Linked DNA regions of Arabidopsis thaliana. The protein of the gene in region 1 binds, or shares a complex with, the protein of each later gene. Each region holds a gene or a part of one and is shown on either strand. Other genes may lie near its edges.

Region 1 (7,168 bases):
ACTTCACAACCTGGACTTATTTATCTCGCTCTTTGTTTTAGTTTGTAGACGTTCAGCGCTTCTAATTTTTGTCAACCGCTGGTCGATTGTCATTTTGAAACTCGTTGACAACATTACGACCTCTACAGTGGTGATAAAAACTGATATTCATGAGTTTCAGATGCAGGCTGCTCAAGGGAACAGTCCGGGGATCCCAGCTTTCAGTAATTTGAGTTCTGGATTTACCAACCAGACAACTCCTGTTCAGGCGTACCCAGGCCATCTTTCCCAGCAGCATCAGATGTCACCGCAGTCACATGTGCTTGGCAACTCGCATCATCCTCATCTCCAGAGCCCAAGTCAAGCCACTGGGGCACAGCAAGAAGCATTTGCTATCCGTCAAAGACAAATTCACCAGAGGTATTTGCAGCAACAGCAACAGCAACAGCAGTTTCCAGCATCTGGTTCTATGATGCCACATGTACAACAACCTCAGGGCTCTTCTGTTTCTTCTTCTCCACAAAACAGTCCTCAGACTCAACCACCTGTTTCGCCCCAGCCATTATCCATGCCCCCGGTGTCGCCCTCTCCTAATATTAATGCTATGGCACAACAGAAACCTCAAAAATCTCAGTTGGCGCTTCATGGTTTGGGTAGGAGTCCTCAGTCTGGTACTTCTGGAGTGAACAATCAAGCTGGAAAACAAAGGCAGCGACAACTTCAGCAGTCTGCAAGACAGCATCCACACCAGCGGCAGCCAACACAAGGTCAACAGCTGAATAAACAACTGAAGGGGATGGGTAGAGGCAACATGATCCATCAGAACATCACTGTTGATCAGTCACACCTGAATGGCCTTACCATGCCCCAAGGAAACCAGGCTACTGAAAAAGGAGAGATAGCGGTTCCAGTTAGGCCTGATCAGCAGTCTAGTGTGGGGACTACCACGAGCACGAATCTGCAGTCTAAACCATTTGTTTCTCCCTTGTCTTCAAATCATTCACAGCAACTGCCAAAATCATTCCCTGGTGCTTTGCCTCCATCCCCTCAACAACAGATGCAATTACATTCAGACAATAGCATCCAAGGCCAGAGCTCACCTGCGACCCCATGTAATATTTTATCCACCTCTAGCCCGTCAATTGCACCAGCGGTTGCACCTTCTAACCATCAGCATTTGTTGATACACCAAAAGCAGCGCAATCAAGTGCAATCAACAGCTCAGCGAGTTGTTCAACATAATCATCTAGGGAACTCTGAGTTATCAAAGAAGTCCCAAGCTGAACGCATGCCACGTGTTCCACAGTCTGTAACCAATACTACCCAAACTGTTAGTATGGGTACGACCAAGGGTATGCCTCAAGCGAGTAATGATTTGAAAAACATAAAAGCAGTTGGTTCTACTGCGGTGCCTGCTTTGGAACCTCCATCTTGTGTTGCTTCTGTGCAAATCACTGCTTCGAAAGTAGTAAACAGTTCCAATACAGATTCAGCAGGAAATGATCCAGTATCAACACCGAACCAAGGACTAGCTCAAAAGCACGGGATCAAGGGCGTTACACAGAGACAACAACAGTCTCTACCTTCAGAAGAAAAGAGACCGAAATTGCCAGAGAAGCCGACTGTACAAAATCAGAAACACCTTGCTTCTGAGGAGCAGCCTCATTTAGAAGAAGCACAAGAATTATCATCTTCCAAGCCTCCTGATACAAAAGTGGAATGAGAGGCATGACAGATGAACCTAGAACCTTGAGTAGCTGTAGATCCTGCAAAGCTTAACGCTGGCCCTTACCGACAACAACCCTGTACAGGAACCCAAACTGGTTTGTGTCCTCCACCTTCAGAGTCGGGTCTCTTTTTGGCATTAACATCTTGAAGCTGCTGGTGGTCTTTGGATTTGGCTGAGAGTATAACATAACAAACTCTACAGATTGTGGAGTTTGCAGATTTGGTAAGGCCAGAGGGAGATCAATAGGGAAGAAGTTGGTGGATAGGATAAAATTCATGCAGGTCTTTTTGCCTCTTTTGATGAACACAAAGAGAAGAAGGTATATCATAATGTAAATTACCCACTTGCATCATAGAGAAGTAGTCTCTTCTTCTTCCCATCTTTTGGTTTGGGAGAGAGTAGAAACAGTTTATAATGTTTTGTATAGAAGTCTCTACTCCTCCATCCTTGTGGCATATACTTAGGGCCCTTTTTTAACCTTTTCCTCTAACTTATTCTCTTGTAGGTTTAGGTTAATTTGATGAATGTATCATTGTTCTTTTATGGTTAAAAAAAAAGTTCACTTCACTCCCATAAACATTAGCTTACATAGTGCATTTCTTCAAATCCGTTACCTATGTTACAAATCTAAAAGCAACAATGACTAAATCTCTACGTTAGAAAGAATCAAAAGCATTGTTGATAAATTGAAGAAGCTGAGTTTGAGAACTCTGAATCAAATTTTAGATTTTTTGGATACTTCGGATAAACCCGAATCCGAACCCAAAATATCTGATCCACATCCGATCTAAACCCAAATTTTAATATACCCGAATGCGTCCTAGATTTCTAAACCCGAAACCGAAAACTCCGACCCGGACTCGATCCGAATTGCCTATGGACAACGTGGGACAAATATAGTTTTACAAAACCAGCGACATGCCTGAGATTTGTAGAGATCCATGTCACACAACATGAAACTGTTATAACTTTATTACTACAAAAAGGCCCGAAACAAGACCAAGCAAACAAAAAGAAAGGCCTTGTTTGGTCAAAATCTCAGGCCCAGAATTCGGAGAGAGAGAGAGAGAGTCGCATACTGCGTCGAGGAGAGAGAGAGAGAGAGAAAGAACGAAAAAAAAACATCAACGAGAACTCAATTTTTTTTTTTATCTCCCGAGAGGGAAACCAAAATTGAAAACGAAAAATAGCTGAATTAGGAATCAATCTCGCAACAAGCAAGCAATTTCCATGGATTCCTTGTTTTGGGAGGAGCTTCTTCTCTTCTACTCTCTGAGAAATTGATTCTCGTCTTTCGATTTGAAAGAAAAGCTTATAAGAATTTGGAAGCCCTAGGAGAGAGAAACTAATTTTAGAATTTGGTGATTTTGCCCGAGTTTTGTGCCCTAGCTTTTTGCCTTCGTTCTGTTCTGTTCTACGTTCAATTTCCAGGTTTAACTCTCTTCTCCTTCACTCTTCTATTCAAACCCTAGAGTCCAGCTTTGCTGGAGCTTCTGTGATTTTGAACCCAGTGCTTCTTTTATCAGGAATGTGAATTGTTTGCTGAAATTGTGTCTCTGTAGTTCTTTGTTTCTACTCGTTTAGCTTGGAAATGCTCAATACTTGATTCAAGAGTTCGTAGGCACGCCATTAAGTAGCTTAAGCTGATCATTTTCTAACTTTGGTTCCTAGTAATCGTTGTTAGTGTTGGATTAAGCTTCTAGAACCTCTCTGCCTTGAGGCAACATTTCATTTCTTTGGTATCTTAGAGTTCTATTCTATCTCTGTTATGCTGGAATACGTAGTTGTGAGCTTCTCGGGGATCAGAATGGTATTGGCGTTAGATATATAGAATTCTCAGTCAAATACTAGATTCTGGGGAGTTATCTTCACTTTGATGTTCCTTTGGATAGTGGCTAGAGTATATGAGTGAATGTTGTTTTACTTTTGACATCTTCTGAGCAGTTACATCTTGAATCTGATAAGCTACTCTATTATATGATATCATATGGTACTGCTTTTTGCATCATGAGAACATACATTTTACCAGTGTTATTTGTAGGTCCAACATTTAGGTGTAACTGATTCTAACTTCTGCAGTATGATCATTCGGAATGCTGTAAATACTGAAAGCTCTTGATATAATTTTTCAGTTAAGCTAGAATTCGAATTGATGGGGTATTCGACGTGGTGATGCATGGAAGCGTTTCAGGATATCTTCTAGTAAATGCTGAGGTTGATTCCATGGGAGGAGTTATCGATAGTGGAGGTGGTATTGGTGTTAAAACATCTCCGCGCCGAACAGCTATTGAGAAGGCTCAAGCGGAGCTAAGGTATTTCAGATTGAGACATCTTGATCTTCTGCAGTGTGTTTAAATGCTCTATAATTTCTACAGCTTTCTATTATTTCCAATGTGTAACAAAGATGCTTATTTCAACAGGCAAGAGTATGATGTTCGTGAGGAAAGGAGGAGAGAATTGGAGTTTCTAGAGAAAGTATGAATACCTATTTCCCTGTTCTATAATTGTTTTGTGTGTGTGTGTGTAAGAACTTATGATGACAAGCCTTTACTCTTCTATCTGCTTCAGGGCGGTAATCCCTTGGATTTCAAGTTTGGTATTGCAACTTCACATAGCGTCCAATCTACATCACTCACAGATCAGCAAGCAGAGCATTTTGTAAACAGGTACATTCGTGTTTGGTGTAGTTCCCACATTAATTTCATGGAATAACTCATCATTATTTGCCCATAACCCCCACAGTGAAGTCAAAGATAGTTTTGCCCTGACTGCCTCACCACATGGTGACTCGGTGGAGAGTAGCGGTAGACCTGGAGTTCCTACAATTTCTGAACCCAATACAGCAGATAATCTTTTACTGTTTGATTCTGAAAACAAGTCAGTTGAAGGGGAAAGAAATTTGAGACATCCTAATAGGCAAAACAGAACTTCTGAGTCAGAACGATCTTCCAAAGCACACACCAACCAGAATACCAAAGAAACAGAAGATTCTGCCATCTTTCGCCCGTATGCTCGGAGGAACAGATCGAAGATAAGTCGGGATCCAGCACGGTCAAGCTCTACGGATTTAGTTCAGAATCGTGGTGGTCTTGCAACGTCTATATCTATTCGCAGAGGATCAGTGGAAGGAAAGGGTTGCATTCCCGAAGCAGCCAATCAAAAGGATATGCATACAACTTCTGTATCTTGTCCAGTATTTGCAAATTCAAATGGTAATATCGTTCCGAAAAATAGAGTTTCCAGCAATTCGCTGAATACTAAGGTGGATGGTGAACCTGTTGTACGAGAGAGTACTGCTGGATCCAAGACTAGTCTATTGAAAGATGAAGCCGACATTTCGTATAGTAAAAGCTCTGCATATTTGCCAGTTGGAGAGTCTGGCCTTGCTGGGGAGAAGGCACAACTAGTTTCGACTGGTGGTTCTCCCAAAGCTGCAACAATAGCTGGCCAGAAAAATAGTTCTACCCAACTGAATGGCCTAAGAGATTCCACGGTAGAGGAAGAAAGCTTAACAAATAGAGGAGCTACAGGGACTAATGGGTTAGAGTCAGAGTCTTCTCATGCGAACAACGTAGAAGTAAATGTAGATAATGAAAGAGATCTTTATAAAGTGGACAAACTTGACTCTGATGAAATCTCTATGCAGAAGACTTTGAGAGTAGAGGGGTTACTAGATCAAACAGTTGGTGAAATGACCAAAACTAAGATTGAAGATGAGACAGGTCAATCTACCACCATTATCAGTGAGTGCATTCCTGAATGTGAAATGCAGATGAAATCGGTTAAAATTGAAAATCAAAGTCACAGAAGTACAGCTGAGATGCAAACTAAGGAGAAAAGTTCCGAGACTGAGAAAAGGCTTCAAGATGGGTTGGTTGTACTCGAAAATGACAGTAAAGTTGGTAGTATTTTATCTGAAAATCCTAGCAGCACGTTGTGCTCTGGAATTCCTCAGGCATCTGTAGACACAAGTTCTTGCACAGTTGGCAATAGTTTATTGTCAGGAACTGACATTGAAGCATTAAAACATCAGCCGAGCTCAGATGCAGTTATGTTAGATACTGTCAAGGAGGACGCTATTCTTGAGGAGGCCCGGATTATACAGGTTTTCTTTTTAATCTTGACTTGATGATTTTTAGCTATCTAGTTTTCGTAGAAGTTATGATGTTATGTACCTACTCATCTTTTTATGTATGACATAATACATTAACAGGCAAAGAAAAAAAGAATTGCCGAATTATCTTGTGGTACTGCACCAGTGGAGGTCCGTGAGAAATCTCAATGGGATTTTGTCCTCGAAGAAATGGCATGGCTGGCAAATGATTTTGCGCAGGTCTGGTCTAGTTAAATTATCTTTCTAACATAAATTCTATATATCTGCATGGAAAATGCTGCATTTTGTGGATTTTTGTTCTGTTTATTTACTACGGCGTCTGGTCATTCGTCTTCTTAAATGAGCTTGTCCACTTTTATGTTACTGGAACATTTTTCCGTGACTGTTCTAATTGCATTCTGTTACCTTTTTTCTTTTCATCTTCTAGGAGCGCCTTTGGAAAATGACTGCTGCCACACAAATTTGCCATCGAGTTGCTTTGACTTGTCAGTTGAGATTTGAGGAACGAAATCAGCACAGAAAGCTGAAAAAAATAGCTTCAGTCCTATCTTATGCTATTTTACAATTCTGGAGTTCTGTGGAGGCCGAGGTTCCTGGGGAGCTGGAGGAGACGAGCTTGGGAATTGTTAAGGTATTTGACTGTCTGACCTCTTTTATGGTTTTTGATGACAATGATGATCATATGGTTCTTTCCGTTTCTTTTAAATTAGAATTTATACATACACTCGTTGAATTCTGAGAACCATATTATTATGTTTGTGACTAGACTGCAAAACAACACAATTCTACTGATATTTCCTTCTTATGATTGAGAAGCCTGATCTTTCTTATTTGCTTGCATTGTCTTTGATAATTACCTTCAGGAGTCTCTGGTTCTGTCGCTCTTTATGTTATGATTTTTGTAAAACTTAATGGTATCAAACTAAATATTACCGTGGTTGTATGCAGGAGACCTGCCAAGAATCTAATTGTTTGAATGGCATAAGATGTTTAGCTGCGGGTGTCAAGGAATATGCAAGTAGATTTTTGAAGTACAACAACTCTTCCATCTCCTATCATTCAGCTGCACTGTCAACACCTGACAATATGTGCGACCCAGAAATATTGGATATATCTATGGTTGATCAGCTTACAGAAGTATGAATTTCTGAAAAGATTTTCCGCAGCCTCAGTTGAACACTATTGTTGTGGATAGTTCTACATTATTGCTAATTGAGCTTTATTACTGTACAGGCAAGCCTCTTTTATTCAGTTCCATCTGGTGCAATGGAGGTGTACCTTAAGTCCATTGAGTCGCATCTTACACGTTGTGAGGTATGTGAGATTGTTCTATGCTAGGAGCTCGC
Region 2 (7,264 bases), on another chromosome or scaffold:
GGTACCGAATAGCTATATAGAAGTTTCAAAACCATCGTTTGGGTCAACGAGTTTTCATTGTCAAATGATAGAACTTGCAATAACATAGTTTATGCATTTAAGAGGTGTGTAATGATAGAATAGGAGAATGGATACATCTTTTTCTATCAAACATAGTTTATGCATTTAAGAGGTGTCCTATGGGGATTCCTGTAGACTGTGGGTTCTGAGCAATCATGACGGTGACACCACAGAAGCTGGTTGAGAGACTCAAGTCACGTGCTGGGAGATATATTGCATTGCACCTGAGATATGAGAAAGATATGTTGGCTTTCACTGGTTGCACCTATGGTCTCACTGATGCTGAATCCGAAGAACTGAGAGTAATGCGGTAATTGATTACTCTCTGCATCTATTCTTAACAAAGCAAACATGCAAAACGTCTTCATGGGATAAAATTACAGTTTCAAGCTCAATATGTTATCTGTTGGTCACAGGGAAAGTACAAGCCATTGGAAGATCAAAAGTATAAATTCAACAGAGCAGAGAGAGGAAGGCCTTTGTCCATTGACTCCAAAAGAAGTGGGAATATTTCTGAAAGGTCTCGGATATTCTCAGTCAACAGTCATATATATTGCAGCAGGGGAAATCTATGGGGGTGATGATAGACTCTCTGAGCTTAAGTCGCGCTTCCCAAATCTGGTTTTTAAGGTCTGTTCAACCACCTCTAATCTTTCATGTTACTGACAATCTAAAGATGATAAATGTTTATGTTTCATGTACTGGATTTTGTAGGAAACGCTTGCTGGGAACGAAGAGTTAAAAGGTTTCACTGGCCATGCGACTAAAACGGCTGCTCTTGATTACATAATTTCTGTTGAGAGTGATGTGTTTGTTCCTTCACATTCTGGAAACATGGCAAGAGCAGTTGAAGGTCACCGCAGATTTCTAGGGCATCGCAGGACTATCACTCCCGACAGGTTCTATCTCCTTCCTTCTGTTACCTTAAAAAAAAGCATTAATCTTTTAGTCATTTTGTTATAGGCCATGACAAGTTTGGTGTTGTATGCAGGAAAGGACTAGTGAAACTCTTCGTTAAGATGGAGAGAGGACAGCTAAAAGAAGGACCAAAGTTGTCCAATTTTGTGAATCAAATGCATAAAGACAGGTAGCAAAAGAGTCATACGTTTGCTTCTTAAACAATAAACCTATAAAAAAAAGCACATCTTTGATGCGAGAAGAGGATTTGTTTGATCGGTTTTGCAGACAAGGTGCACCGAGGAGAAGGAAAGGACCAACGCAGGGGATCAAAGGACGTGCACGGTTTAGAACTGAAGAAGCCTTTTATGAGAATCCATATCCAGAGTGTATTTGCAGTTCAAAGGAGCACAAAGAACCCTAACTAAAATTTTCCAAACTTTTTTTGTTCTGTATCATTACATCTCATTTATAGTCATCTTAATTATAGTTTTCACATATCCCTTGATATCTTTTCTGTTTTTGATATCCGGAGATCTCTAGCCGAAGTAGAAAGCCAGAAATTTTTAACATTTAGTTATAAAACTTCTCTTTCGGCATTTTTTCAAATATTCCAAATTTTAACCAAACTGTTGTCAATCAGAATGGAACAAGAATGAAACACCAAAGTTACTACTGATCGTTTTACCATCCAGACAAAAGATTCCTACAGTTACAAGATCTATTGAACAGAGTGCGTGTTAAATTGTTACAGACAAAAGTCATCTAAGGATATGCAGATTAAAAGTAGACCATAACCATAACTATTTGAAGTGTAATGCCCTCTTAGCTCTGCTCTTTGTAAGGAGTCCATATCATTTTGCTCACATCCACATCAAGACCACCTCGGCCTGCCGCTTTCAAGTGTCGGTCCAGTACCTTAGGATCCGCGCAGATTACGTGTTGTCCTTTCCTGTATTGTATCAGTTCCAAGCTCTGCAGGGTGCTTAATATATCTTCTGCTTTAATCGCTGTCATGTCGCTCAGCTCCTACATTTAAAAAAGTTGAATATATGAATTATTCTGTTGACAGATAGGCTAAAAAGGATCATTACGGATATATAGATATACATACCTTGATAGATATGTTTCCCTTGTGCTTTTTCAAAATGTCTAATAAAATCCGAGTCCAGTAACCTCTGTAACTCACTAACCCTAGATCAGAGAGCGGCCTTTCCGGTGTCCCGACTTTGCCCTCTTTCTTTGAGAGTTCATAGGCTATAACACAATATAACGTGTAAGCTTTATAGAGAGAGGTGAGAACAAATAAGAAGAGTTGAATGAAAAACAAAAACTCACAGAAGGCTATTAAGAATTTGCCATAGCCCTTCCTTTGATATGGAGGAAGTGTAAGGATGCAAGCCAAGTTGTAAGCTTCTTCTGAGTGTTTTTCCTGTACCAACAGAAATTGCATTTTTTTCATCAGACAATCAAATTGAAACAGAACATGTATATAACAGACCCAAGAGCCAAAGTGTGCTGATACCTTTGAAAAGTATCCAACCATGTGGCATCCACGATCATCACATTCACAGAGAATATAGAACAGGAACAAATCAACGTCATAGTAAAGAGTTTTGTGGTCAAGAAATAACTTTGCCAGATAACAGAGGTTCTGTGCATAGACCTTATTCTTCTTGCCATCCACCTGTAAGATATTACAAATAAACTCCCAGGTCGTGAAAATTCAATTCTAAATACATTTATTAGCTTCCAAACAAGTATCGTAAGCCTAAAGCAAACAGTTTAAGGATGAAAACATCAATCTATTACCTCAAACATTGACAAAGTAGAGCTTCGATAGATTTCATCCCCAGGGGGGTGCTTCAAATCGCATTTCCTCTGCATAGATAAAAGACGATTGAGCAAAACTTAAGTAAAAAGAATGACCCATAAAAGGTATGTGTGAAACTAAAAATAACTGTAAAGACAAAACAATTAAAATGCTACAAATGATAAAAAAAACAGTTGCTCACCATATGTCTTTGAAGCTGCTCTTTGCGCTTCATAAAACTGAGGCAAAACTCACAGAAAAAGAGCTTCACGCAGTCATTGTATTCTGGAGGAAAAGGAGAGAAGTACCACGTCTCAATCTCATACTTCCCAAGCTCAATCGTAGCTATGTTCTTCACTTTCGTGAACTCCTCGTGTTCACGCAAACTGGCAGCATCCAGCTCTTCATGACCCTATACAAAATATCGAAAAACATCAGAATATATAGCATGCCACACAGTTCACTAAAACCACAACAAAGTTTAACTAACTTAACCAATCACTTTACCTCTACATGAGTCTCATCAATCTTCCGTTTCTGGTGTCGTGTCATCTTCAAGCTAGTCACCTATTACCACAAACAAACTTCTATGTTTCAGTGCAAACTACGGAGAGGAAAGCTCAAGACTTTGAAGAAAAATGGCTAATACCTTGTCTTCAACTTTTTCATCTAAAGCACACTCTACTGAATCAAGGTCAAGCTGTTCAAGCTTAATCCATTCATCCAATCTTCTATTAACTGCAGTTTCACAAGAGTTGTGATACTCAAAACAACTTGAATTGCAAAGCCCTCTAATTCAATTCTTCGAAATTTCAGCTCCAATCTATAAACCCTAGATTCACAAATTTCAGATAGAGAAAGGAGGAAACGACATACACTCTGTGTAATGAACGTAGTACTCGTAATCATTGTGACCACCATTATAATTCTTTCGGCGCTCGATAACCTTCACCGGATGGTATTTTCCGTCTCTCCATTGACACATCACGCGAGTACCAACCTCGAGCGGAAGCACCCCCATTCTTCTCTTCTTCGAAGCATCCGATTCTGAATTCGTGAGAGCGAGTATCGCACCAGAAGTATGATTCTGATTCGCATCTCCGCCGTTGGTTGCCGGATTATTATGGTTCGACGCCGGTGTGGCGATTATCATCGCCGTCTCTGTATCCGCAGACGATCCCATTTCTTTAGTCGGGTCGGAGATTTTTTCCGGGTGGATTCTTTTCTCATACGGATAAAGAACATCATTTGGAAGGAGTGTGGCCCAATAACAACTTTGAATGCTCAATTGGGCCTATCTTTATAATTGGCCTGTACTATATGTCTCTCTTACCGTCCTTTTTTTTTGGGTGCAAAAAATCTCTTACCGTCGTTAATACACGTTTTATAACTGTTGGCTTATGTTTAGTTTTATAATCGCCAGGTTACATTTAAAGAATGATTAGTAGGAGCAAACAATTTATAAAAACTAAAGAGATAATGAGAGATAAATAATAAGTGACAGAGTCAGTATTTTGTCGTGAATGGGAAACAGCCAAACAAGGCTTTATGATTCGTACTAATCACAAGATTCACAGATCAAAAAATCACAAAGTTCCAAGAAGCAAAGACGAAAAACACAACTCATCATCGTGTCCTTGAAGTTATGGTCATAGATTCGCACACCATGTTCCTCTAGATTAACCAAAATGATTTTTTATGAACAAAAAAGATTCACATGGTCACTTTACTGTATCTTGTATGTGAAATTTTACATCTCATTTTTCTTAAAGAATGTTTTACTTTTACATACTATCAATTTACTTTTATTTTTCGGTTATGAATTGAAGTGGATGACTTACTTACTTTTGAAATTCGAATGAAGAAAAATAGAATTGATTCCTATTTCAGTTGTTCACATGTAAACACGTTATATACTTATATGGCAACTTGACTAAAGGGAAAATTTAAATAAAATGATTTAATTTGGTGACATATATTCATCTTTCTAATTTTTGTAGCTACTACACACCGTGTATCCTTTTTCATAATAATGATGTGAAATTGTATAATTGTAAGAAAAAATGAGAAAAGAGTGACGAAATCTTTAAAACAGACAGAATTTTTTTGGTTGAGCAAACAAAACTTAGTTATCAAATTTTGGAAATAACGTGTTGAAGTGGCTGATTCTTTTACCTACAATGATTGATTCATCGACAAATATCTTGTTCGTATATCATCAATTCTAAATTCTTCAAAAATAAAGTAAAGATACTCAAATGTAATGAAATGACGAAGCTGGAAAAACGTATTTTAATTTAATTCATTATTTGACCAACAATTTGCATCATGTGAATTTAAATCTTGATAGGTCAATATTAGTATAAACTACCACACTACATGCGAAAATCATTCCTCATTTAGTGCAATTACAAATGATAAACGGAAACGTTATCATTTGTATTTATTTTGTAAAATATGTAATTCAAGAAACTGCTCAGAATATAAAGACAAGAATCCTCTTTCTTCCATCTCTATCTCTCCGTAAACAGTTGCTCAAAACCTTCTTCCTGAAATGGCTTCTTCTCTCATCTTCCTCCTCCTCGTTACCCTAACCTTTTCAGCATCAACCCTAATCTCAGCCAAATCCAACACAACAACAATAATCGAATCAACTTGCAAAACCACAAACTACTACAAATTCTGCGTCTCAGCTCTCAAATCCGACCCAAGAAGTCCCACAGCCGACACAAAAGGTCTCGCCTCCATTATGGTCGGCGTTGGTATGACAAACGCCACCTCCACCGCAAATTACATCGCTGGAAACCTATCCGCCACCGTAAAAGACACCGTTCTCAAAAAGGTCTTACAAGATTGCTCCGAGAAGTATGCTCTCGCCGCTGATTCTCTCCGGCTGACGATTCAAGATCTTGATGATGAAGCTTATGACTATGCCTCCATGCATGTGTTGGCGGCGCAGGATTATCCTAATGTTTGCCGGAATATTTTTAGGCGGGTTAAAGGGTTGGCTTATCCGGTGGAGATTCGCCGGCGTGAAGCTAGTCTGAGACGTATTTGTGGTGTTGTCTCCGGGATTCTTGATCGCCTTGTTGAATGATTTACATTTGCATTAACTACTTTCGTAAAATCTCTATTTAAATTATCGTATTTCATGAATTTAATATGACCGTTACTTTATTACTTTCGTCTTTGCTACAACTTTCAAATTGCCAAGAAGAACAATCTTTAGAGATCACCTGAATATTTGGAATTTAATATTTCTCAATCAATTGACTAATCATACCAAAAATTTTAAGTGACGAAGATTTGGGGGAAAAGGCTTCTTAAGAAATGGGAAGTACTAGAGATATTTGTATATTCGTTATATATCTTTAGGTAACTTTTTGCTTTATCTGTATGCATTATACGTGTTATCGCTTCAGAGATGTTTTACACTTTAAAAATTGCGATAAGGTTACAAAAGTGTCATCTTAAAAGAGAAAGGTAACGTCGTCTATATATTTTTTTATAACAATTTTAATGCAGAATAGTTATCGACCTCATAAACTAGTACTGCTTTTAAGACGACGTCGACTGCTATGCGAATCAAAATCAAAAGACGTATGACTTTTTTTAATATCATTTTAGGTGGAAACATTTACATAAATTATTGAAAGTGAATGTTCGTAGGTCATTGACTAGTCTACAGTTTTCGATATCAGTTCAAATAATCGACTCATAATTGAACTAAAAGCATCAAAATAATTAAACCATATACGAACACTAATAAGACCGGTTTTAGAATAAACCGGACTAGTCGGTGGATAAAATCGTCATTTGACACGGAGACTACTATTTCGCGCCCAAATGATCCCAGAAGACGCGCCCAGAGTGACAGTCCTTTTAGTTATTCTTCTTCCCAGTAATCCACAAACCCTAGAAAATTTTCTCAAGAAAATCCGAATCACGATTCTGGGCATTGTGGAGGATTGACAAAAATGAAGGGAGGTACGATACAGATAAGTTGGCACGATGGGAAGCCGGTGCTAACCGTAGATTTTCACCCGATTTCCGGTTTACTCGCCACCGCCGGAGCCGATTACGATATCAAGGTAATTTAATTCTCAAATCAAAATCGATTTGTATCCATTTTCAGGATCTGAGTTTGATCAAATAGTCACTAATTGTGTAATTTTGGAATTTGAATGTCTGCGATTGTTTAGAATTTCTAAAATTCAAATGTTTGAATTTGGTTCTCACGGGTTCATGAATTTGAACATCTGAAATTGTTTTGGTTGTGATTGTTGACTTTGCATTCACTGTTGACTATAAACAATTGAAAATTATTCAGCTATGGTTGATAAATTCGGGTCAAGCGGAGAAGAAGGTTCCTAGTGTATCTTATCAGAGTAGCCTTACTTACCATGGATGTGCTGTCAATACCATTCGTTTTTCTCCATCTGGTATGCATTAGCTTTGTATTATCAGATATGTTCTTTTAGCCGTAATCATGTT
Region 3 (7,874 bases), on another chromosome or scaffold:
GACCTCACCAGTTCCAACCAAAACATAGGATCCAACTTCTACGCTGTGCACAGGAACGCTTTTGTATGACAAATCAGATATATTTGGAACATTGCCATTGTGTACTTCGATCAACAATGCAGAATCTGGATTACTCTCTTTCAATTCTTTGACATCCACCATTGATCGACTAGTAAAGAACTCCTCAGCTGCAGAAAAATGACAAGACAAAAGCTCAAACCTCTCCGTCATGATAAACATTAACAATGACATATCCCTAATCCTTATTAAGGTCAAGTTCTAACCAATATGAGCAAGATTGAACATAGCTAGAAGCAATCCTCCTTCCAAAGCATTTCCCATAAACACAGATGCAAAAGCCGCAAGTGCCATCAAGACATGGATGTTCACTTTTCCTCCAGCTATATCCATAAGTGCGTCGAGAGATGCTGAAACCTAACAACATCGATGACCATAAAGCTAAATTACTAAATCATCTGGCTAAATTATAAAACTAGCAAGGAGCTTTATAGAGAAGGCTATAGAAAACCTTACTCCAACAAGAGGAAAACCAACAATCATGAATGCGTTCTGAAGAGACTTAATGTAAGGTTCAGGAGCAAGGTAAGGACAGACGGCGGCAGCGAGGAACATTGCAGCGGCGGAGCAGCAAAGATGAAGATGCTCTCTGAGGTAATTGGCCAATCTAACCCATCCGATAGCTTTAGCGAATCCGAACAACATCTTCTGAGGCTTACTCTCCGCTTTCAATTCCACAGAACAGCATCCGTGTTGATGGTGATGATGATGGTGGTTGTGATGATCTTGCTCGTCATCGTGATGATGATCGTGATGGTGATCTTCGACAGCACGTAGACGAATCGACCGTGGTGGAAGATTAAGGGAAGCAGAGATACGAAGCGGTTTTTGACGGAGAAGAGTTTTAGGTGGAAGAATTGAGAACGAGTTGACTCGAGCGAGTCGGAGAGTGGATAAACCACGACGATAAGGGAATCTAGTAAGAGAGGAAGAACGAGTAAGAGTTGCAGGTTCCATGGTCGACGAATTTGAGCTCAAGCGTCGTTTTTCATGCCACCATTGATTCTGATCTCGCGAACTCTGCGTGTAAGAGTCGTTCGTCTTGGTGAAAAAGATGAAAGAATAATAACAGAGAAGGAGAACCAATGTAATTATTCCGATGACATTAGCCACATAAATAATCTCATCTCATACACTTTTTTATTTTTTCCATTTTTTTTGTTGCCTTCTACCAACCAAGGTTCCATTGTTCCGGATGTTTTATTGACCACTTAAAGAAATTTACATGAACCAAATAGTTAACTTCAAAGGCCTGTAAAATATTTCATATTCAGCTGCAAATCTTACAATTATGAATTCATCAGAAAAATGAAGGAATTCTAAATTACAACAATATTTTTTTCCTGGAGATGTCAGTCGTCTTTTCCTTTGCCTTTACCATCTGAAACCTTATCAGAATCATATGCTGATGGTAGCAAGAAAGTGCTCTGATTCTTCTGAATAAACCTGTAAAGATTTTTTTCCAGAAATTGTGAATTTAACCGTTAAAACCGAGAAATCAAAATGGTAGTGATGAAACAGAGAGATTAGATATATACTTGAGGAAGTCTGATAATGTTTGTTGCATGCGACTCCATGTTTCTTCTTCCATGTTTACATATGAAAAAAGATCTGGCAACTTGACTGCAGATTTTTAAAAAAAGCAAAAATAAAATTTCAGAACATCGAATTTTACTGTCCAAATAAGAACTTAATGAGATTTTACCAAAGAGACGGAGCAAATGCTCGGCGCCATAAACAGTTGAAGGTGAAGTATCATCCACGATTGATTCTTGGTATTGTCGCCTCTCTTTCTTATATAGGAGCATCACTGGCAATGCCTTGTCGAAATAACTCCTTATGCCTTTCAATATTTCAGCGACCGAATCAGTTACCCTGCACAAAAACAGAAACACAAAATTTTGTATCGTTGGATTTCGGAAAAGATTCAAATATATCAAACTCTGTGTTCGAGTAAAAGACTCACATTCCATCCTTCTTGGTTTTGAATTCAAGGTACTTGGACAATATCTCATCGACGTTAGGTGAACGAGGAAGTTTCACAACCTATATAATCATTTGAAGACAGATTACCAAACATCAATTTCCCTTCACTTTGGTATACACAATTCATTCGACTACAAATACACACTTATGTCTCTTAACTTTCAAGTCTAGCTGATTCAATAACAATTCTAATAGTGCTAAAAGTATGTGCACAAAATAGAGAAAATTGATGATACCTTGTCCTTCTGCGCAATATACTCCCAGTCGTCAGTGAGTTGCTTTTTAAGTGATGCGGGAATTTGGATCTTCATTAGCTTCTCCGCCGTTACATTATCCTTCTATAGATTACAAATGAAAACAAAAACCTTATCGATATTAGAAGACCTGAAAAATTGACCCTTTTCGTATGTGTGTATATGCATAACAACACATCAGCCATCTATTGTACTGTAAAATATAATCTTAACAAAGACCTAACAGGTATGAACCAAATACATCTCTAAGTTTTTGCAAGCCTGACCTCATTGCCTGACTCGTGCTTTCGTTTCTTCCCTTTTGCAGCTGCAACAGAAAATGTAATCATCTATACACCAGCTTAAATAATTTAAGTTGCACCCAGTCTACCAAATCATTTCCTTGGAAATTGTTGGGAGAACCCTGAACTACAAAGGGAGCGTAAATTAATATGTTGCCTACCATTGGTCTTGGTGTCATCTTTATCAGCCTTTGTGTCTGCAAGTGCAAGATCAGAAAGAAATAGTTAGTTTCTTAGCCTGGATGACCAAAATATGTATCATGTACTCTCAGCATGGTCAATGTGGAGGCAACAACTCACCTGCAGAGCTTCTAGTTTTTGTCTGAGCGGAACGGCCAGACTTGGTACCTTTTTCAACTCCTTGCTTTTTGTCTAGAGCTTTCTGTTTGACAAGATTCTCCTCGGTATGTTTCAACAATCTATCCGCACTAACCCATTCATCCCAACTGTTGGCAAGACAATCATGTCATGGGTCCCAATCTACTGATTTTGCTACATAAACCAGAATCGACATGAGAGCAGAGAGAGATACTCACTTTTTGTTCCAACCCTGCAGACAAAGATCGCTGTATCACTTATTACTGCAAACCAAAATGAAAATAGCTAGTACATGAAACAGGATAATGAAACTATAATAGCTCAGAAGAAGGAGGCCTCACAAGATAGTGCACAAAGTATTTCCACTCCTTTTTCCGAAGCTCGACCTTTTGAACCTGTAATGGAATGTCAATAATCTATCAGGTCTGCCCACACACTGAAAACACTATGCAATAACAGATTTTTTTCAAAACTATGAAGATTTAGCATAACAACGACACACATTTGATATGAATGAGACTCAATCCAGTGACCTATATAATATATGATTGAAAAAATAAACATGCAAGTAGATTAGCTTGCCCTATTTTCCGAGTAATTTATTGAATTCCTTGCTCCAACGGCAAGTGAATTATTCTTTTGCATCTATTACGACTAAGCATTTATGATCATTCCAATCTAAAAAGCTCTAATGCTACATGAATCCATTACCAAAAAAAGAAAACTCGAATCCAATCTCAATGGGTTCATCTTTCGGATCGTCGTAACTTGAAACCGAAATCTACCAAGAAACCCCTAAGCCAAATCTAGCAGAGAGATCTCAATTCAATGAAACCAGTTAATTCCGTAGTCGGATACAACCAAAACCCACGTGAAATACAAGAATTGCTAAATTAACACGAACAAGATAATCTCTAGAATTCAAATTATGCGAACATCTGACGATGCACAGAGAAAGAGAGAGAGAGAGAGAGGTTTTTTATTTGCCTTGGCTCCGTAGACGCGAGGACCATGGTAAGCGAGAACACGCTCGCCCTCCGAGAAGAGTCTGCCGTCGTTGGACGGTGAGGCGCCACCGCTCGCCGTATCTCCGTCACTCGCCGTCTCTTCCTTCGACGAGCTTCCCATTGTCACCGAAAGCGAGAGCGAGAGGCAAAGATCTTCACATCACAAGGCACCCCTTTAACCGTCTAGATAAATGAATCTACGACAACTGCTGAATGACTGAATCGTTGCGAATAGTTTTTCAATTGAGTCCCTTAACTTTCACAATAGTTCGATTAAATCTCTTAAACCTTTTAAATATACTCGTCGCCCATTTATAAAGCATTGTCTTTTTAAAAAAATTTATGCCTTTATTGGTCGTTGAGCAGTTGGACTCATATTTCACTTTGGACACTGATGTTTATTAACTATTATTACATTCAAATAAATATAAAAAAATTGATTAATACATTTTATTTGTATACTTTTCAAGTAACTTTATTTCACTAACAAAACAATAATCCTAAATATAGAAAAATGAGACAATAATTATTGTTTTTGCCATTCTTCTTCCTATGTATCGATCAGAAACATGAGACATGTATAATATTTTCCACTAATGAAACTGGAACAAAAAAATGAAATAATTTTCTCGACCTAGATGGGTATGGGCACTTTAACCGGCCCGGTTTGAACTAAAGATTGAAACATTAGTGGCCCGGTCCGCTTGGGCTTGGACCTGAGTGCTTAACAAATCGAAACGTATCCTTCCTGTCCACGACCTTATGACCCTCGCCTGGACTTGGACCTGAGTCTTTGATCGAACCAAGTGATAAGCCATCGAATAAACTAGCCACGAACTTCTCCTCGGTCTTTGTTAGACCAAGCGGACGACTCTCGACAAGAACCGAACCAATCAACATGAAGAACAGAATCGAACTCAGAACGTTTTTGTTCATCATCATGTTTAAGAACAATTTAACTCTGTTTATAAAAAATATGGTTTTCTTTCTCTTTGGCAGATAATGAATTTTGTTGTGAGTGTTTTGTGAGTTGAGAATGTGACTATATAGTAGTGTTCGTGGAGATGCAAAGTTTGAATTTTTATTCTTGACTAAGTTTGAATTGAAAAGAATGTGATCATTGAAATTAGTTAGTATGCTGCTTCCTGGGAAAATACCAACTTGTTTCTTGAGCATTCAATTTTGTGTGTATTTATTGAACACAAAATAGTGAAAGCCATCAATGAAGAAAAGGATAAGGAATTGAATATTAGAAATAAAGAATTTAATATCGTAGACCAAACATGAAGTTTCATTGTTTGGAGCAGACGGCAGCTAAATATTAAGGTAGATTTGTAGTTGTGTAGACCAAAAATAATGCTTGAATTTCAAACTCGCAACGTATATAAAGTCACACTCACATATATCGTTAGCCGGTTTAGATTTGGTTTTCGTAAGTATATTATGGTATATTGTTGGTTTCAGATTGAATTTGTTTACTTTATTTTACTTTACTAGAAAATGTACATCTCTAGCTTTGGTTTCGTTTCAACTTTCAGCCAAATTTTTTATATATAGAAAATAAATTTAAAATCAGATAACTTGAATTTTTTTTAAAAATTTGGTTAGGGTTTCTGGTTCGGTTAAACCAGCTGATTTAAGGAGTGACATAAGCTAAATTGACTATGAGTCGGATCTCATGTGTTTGTTTTATAATATTGTTAGATACACCAAACCTAATCATCAATGCTTCAAAAGTTCAAACACTTTGGTGTTATTTTTCTTGCACGACCAAAAATAGTTCCTTCTCACGTGATTTTTCTTGCAAAAAACATTGAACAACCAAACTTTATACTACTCAAAATTCAACATCCAAATTTTAGTTTTTGTTAGGTAGAAATAAGAAATCTATCCTATGAAAAGACAAAACCATTAATTTTTATTTCAACTCTTGCTGCTATATGACGTTGAATTATGATAATTTTTCCGTCTCAAGTTCATAAACGATTTTTCAAACAGAGTTGTGATGAAATTTATTTATTTTCTAAAAAAAAAGGAAGATTGATAGTTTTGAAGAATATATTATTGATGGTAGCCAAATAATTTACCGGAATAAAGTGTAATATCATCTCAAACTGTTCCTTTTTATAGCAAAATCGCTCCTTTTTATCCGCAGTTAGAGTATAAGACAAAGAAACCAAATTCCAGAGCATCAGGAAACTCTTTCCCATATTTTAAGGTGAAATCACTATTTTGAAATTATTAACTTAGTTTAATAACCAATTATTGAATAATACAAACAAAGTACTTAAAACCCGGTTTAATGTTTTATTTCGATTTTATAAATATTGGTTTGGCCAAAATAATATAGTTTATAAGTGGCGTAAGACCACGCCAGAATAATACAAGAAGAAAAAATGTTTAACTATGTATAGTTCGGACGTGGTAGTCCATTAATAATGGAATCAAATTCTGCATTAATAAATTCATTATCAAGATTCCAGTCTTTTGTATTCCTTCCAATTACATGAAATTAATATAATTCTTGAACAAATATCTTTGGACAAAAGAATTTCAATTATTTACTTAAATCTATATAAAAGCAAATCTTTAATCCATTCAAATAGCAGATATGTATCTCTAGGGATTAAGGTAGTATACAACTATAACATCTCAAAAGAACCAAATTGTGACTGCACAATGCAATATCATAATTTGTATATCGAAAACATGATATGTTCACATGGTTCGTCCATAAACAGTACTTATATTCATATTTGACCACTAAATATTTCACATTAAAAAATCGAAATTAGAAATAATTATGGATTTAGTTCTGCAAACTCGATTTTTTTTAAAAAAGATTCGAAGATGCAAGATTGATAATGAAATAAAATTGAGGGTACATCATACATGTGGGGGAAGTGACGTTTAAAAACAAAAAGGAAAAAGAGGAAGAAGATAGATGCCAATATTGTTATCATGACAACTATGAAGCAGAGTTAGAGTCCGTCCGTCCATACAAGTATTTTGTGTGAGTACCACCGAATTTGTCTGTCTATGTTATCTCCCTTCTTTTTCTCATGCCCACGAACCAACATGACAATTATGTTTTGTTCGTTTTTTGAAAAATTCTAGAGTTTTCATTTATTAATTATCGTTGAGTTATGATTTAGTATGATTTTGGTTTAAAAATTCCACTTCTTAGGACTCATTGTTTGATCTTTGTGTTTCTTATTTATTTCTTTGCACAGTACTAAAAATCATGCATTAGTTCTTACCATTCACAAATCTTCAAAACTTAATTAGAAAAAGAAAAAAAAAAATCGATCAATACAATGAAAACGTTCTCCTATGCACTATGCAGAACAAGTCTCGAGGATTCGTATGGTCAAATTTATTCCGATCAAATTATTCGCGAAAGTGTGAGAAACAAATACGTACTTTATTTCTCTTACCTCCTCCTACGTCACTTCTACGCATTCGTGCCCTACCTTCATCAGTACTCTTCCAGTTTCTAAAGGTTAAAACCGAGTCGATGATCCACGACCGTAGAGTTAAATCAAGTAATCAACTTAAGTCATTGTAATAAGAAAGCCTCCGCTCAAAAAAAATTCTACAATATTAGTTTGACATAAAACTTCAAATGATAGAAATATGAAATCAAATAGTTGTAGACTTGTAGTCTAGTACTTTCATTTGGCTCATTTGGCAATTGCAAAGTTTACGTGGTGATTACTAAACTCCTTGTCGGTATAAATGTTTTTGATCATGAAACCATATACCGAAAATATTGGTATATATAGTCCTGCCTAACTCCACTAACAAAAAGTCAGGATTTTTAAATTACCAACTACAACTTGAATTGTCATTTGGAAGATTGATTCATTGGAATATTGTGTATCTTAAGCCATAAACAAATCCCATAATTTAATAGTGTGCCAGAATTTTGTATTCATATTTTAAGCAGT

The links.
Region 2: AT3G24870 (region 1) and HAM1 share a complex: the UniProt entries of both Arabidopsis thaliana proteins name them as parts of the nuA4 histone acetyltransferase complex.
Region 3: AT3G24870 (region 1) and AT4G37280 share a complex: the UniProt entries of both Arabidopsis thaliana proteins name them as parts of the nuA4 histone acetyltransferase complex.

What each region holds. Positions count from the first base shown.
Region 1 is NC_003074.8:9,080,991-9,088,158, reverse strand, and holds the start of AT3G24870 (Helicase/SANT-associated, DNA binding protein), read left to right. Parts: upstream 1-2,739; 5' UTR 2,740-3,139; intron 3,140-3,840; 5' UTR 3,841-3,880; coding exon 3,881-4,020; intron 4,021-4,128; coding exon 4,129-4,183; intron 4,184-4,236; coding exon of another isoform or gene 4,237-4,276; coding exon 4,277-4,374; intron 4,375-4,450; coding exon 4,451-5,813; intron 5,814-5,921; coding exon 5,922-6,041; intron 6,042-6,249; coding exon 6,250-6,453; intron 6,454-6,770; coding exon 6,771-6,959; intron 6,960-7,055; coding exon 7,056-7,136; intron 7,137-7,168. Other genes in the region: AT3G24880 (Helicase/SANT-associated, DNA binding protein), read left to right, coding at 161-1,702. UniProt on the Arabidopsis thaliana protein: Component of the NuA4 histone acetyltransferase complex which is involved in transcriptional activation of selected genes principally by acetylation of nucleosomal histone H4 and H2A.
Region 2 is NC_003076.8:25,826,551-25,833,814, forward strand, and holds HAM1 (histone acetyltransferase of the MYST family 1), read right to left. Parts: upstream 4,120-7,264; 5' UTR 3,954-4,119; coding exon 3,647-3,953; intron 3,509-3,646; coding exon 3,420-3,508; intron 3,338-3,419; coding exon 3,278-3,337; intron 3,183-3,277; coding exon 2,973-3,182; intron 2,839-2,972; coding exon 2,770-2,838; intron 2,645-2,769; coding exon 2,483-2,644; intron 2,390-2,482; coding exon 2,296-2,389; intron 2,215-2,295; coding exon 2,072-2,214; intron 1,987-2,071; coding exon 1,783-1,986; 3' UTR 1,610-1,782; downstream 1-1,609. Other genes in the region: AT5G64600 (O-fucosyltransferase family protein), read left to right, coding at 234-370, 477-690, 775-959, 1,052-1,147, 1,246-1,381; C/VIF2 (cell wall / vacuolar inhibitor of fructosidase 2), read left to right, coding at 5,325-5,867; FAS2 (Transducin/WD40 repeat-like superfamily protein), read left to right, coding at 6,748-6,861, 7,101-7,212. UniProt on the Arabidopsis thaliana protein: Histone acetyltransferase which may be involved in transcriptional activation. Acetylates 'Lys-5' of histone H4 (H4K5ac). Essential for gametophyte development. Involved in DNA repair after UV-B exposure.
Region 3 is NC_003075.7:17,545,318-17,553,191, forward strand, and holds AT4G37280 (MRG family protein), read right to left. Parts: upstream 4,243-7,874; 5' UTR 4,046-4,242; coding exon 3,905-4,045; intron 3,313-3,904; coding exon 3,259-3,312; intron 3,150-3,258; coding exon 3,136-3,149; intron 3,046-3,135; coding exon 2,900-3,045; intron 2,797-2,899; coding exon 2,761-2,796; intron 2,626-2,760; coding exon 2,585-2,625; intron 2,403-2,584; coding exon 2,301-2,402; intron 2,125-2,300; coding exon 2,045-2,124; intron 1,954-2,044; coding exon 1,784-1,953; intron 1,702-1,783; coding exon 1,617-1,701; intron 1,525-1,616; coding exon 1,431-1,524; 3' UTR 1,260-1,430; downstream 1-1,259. Other genes in the region: HMA1 (heavy metal atpase 1), read right to left, coding at 4-188, 285-435, 535-1,035; AT4G37290 (uncharacterized protein), read right to left, coding at 4,612-4,866. UniProt on the Arabidopsis thaliana protein: Chromatin remodeling factor. Acts as a 'reader' protein by binding to H3K36me3 and H3K36me3 to control histone H4 acetylation. Increases the transcriptional levels of the flowering time genes FLC and FT.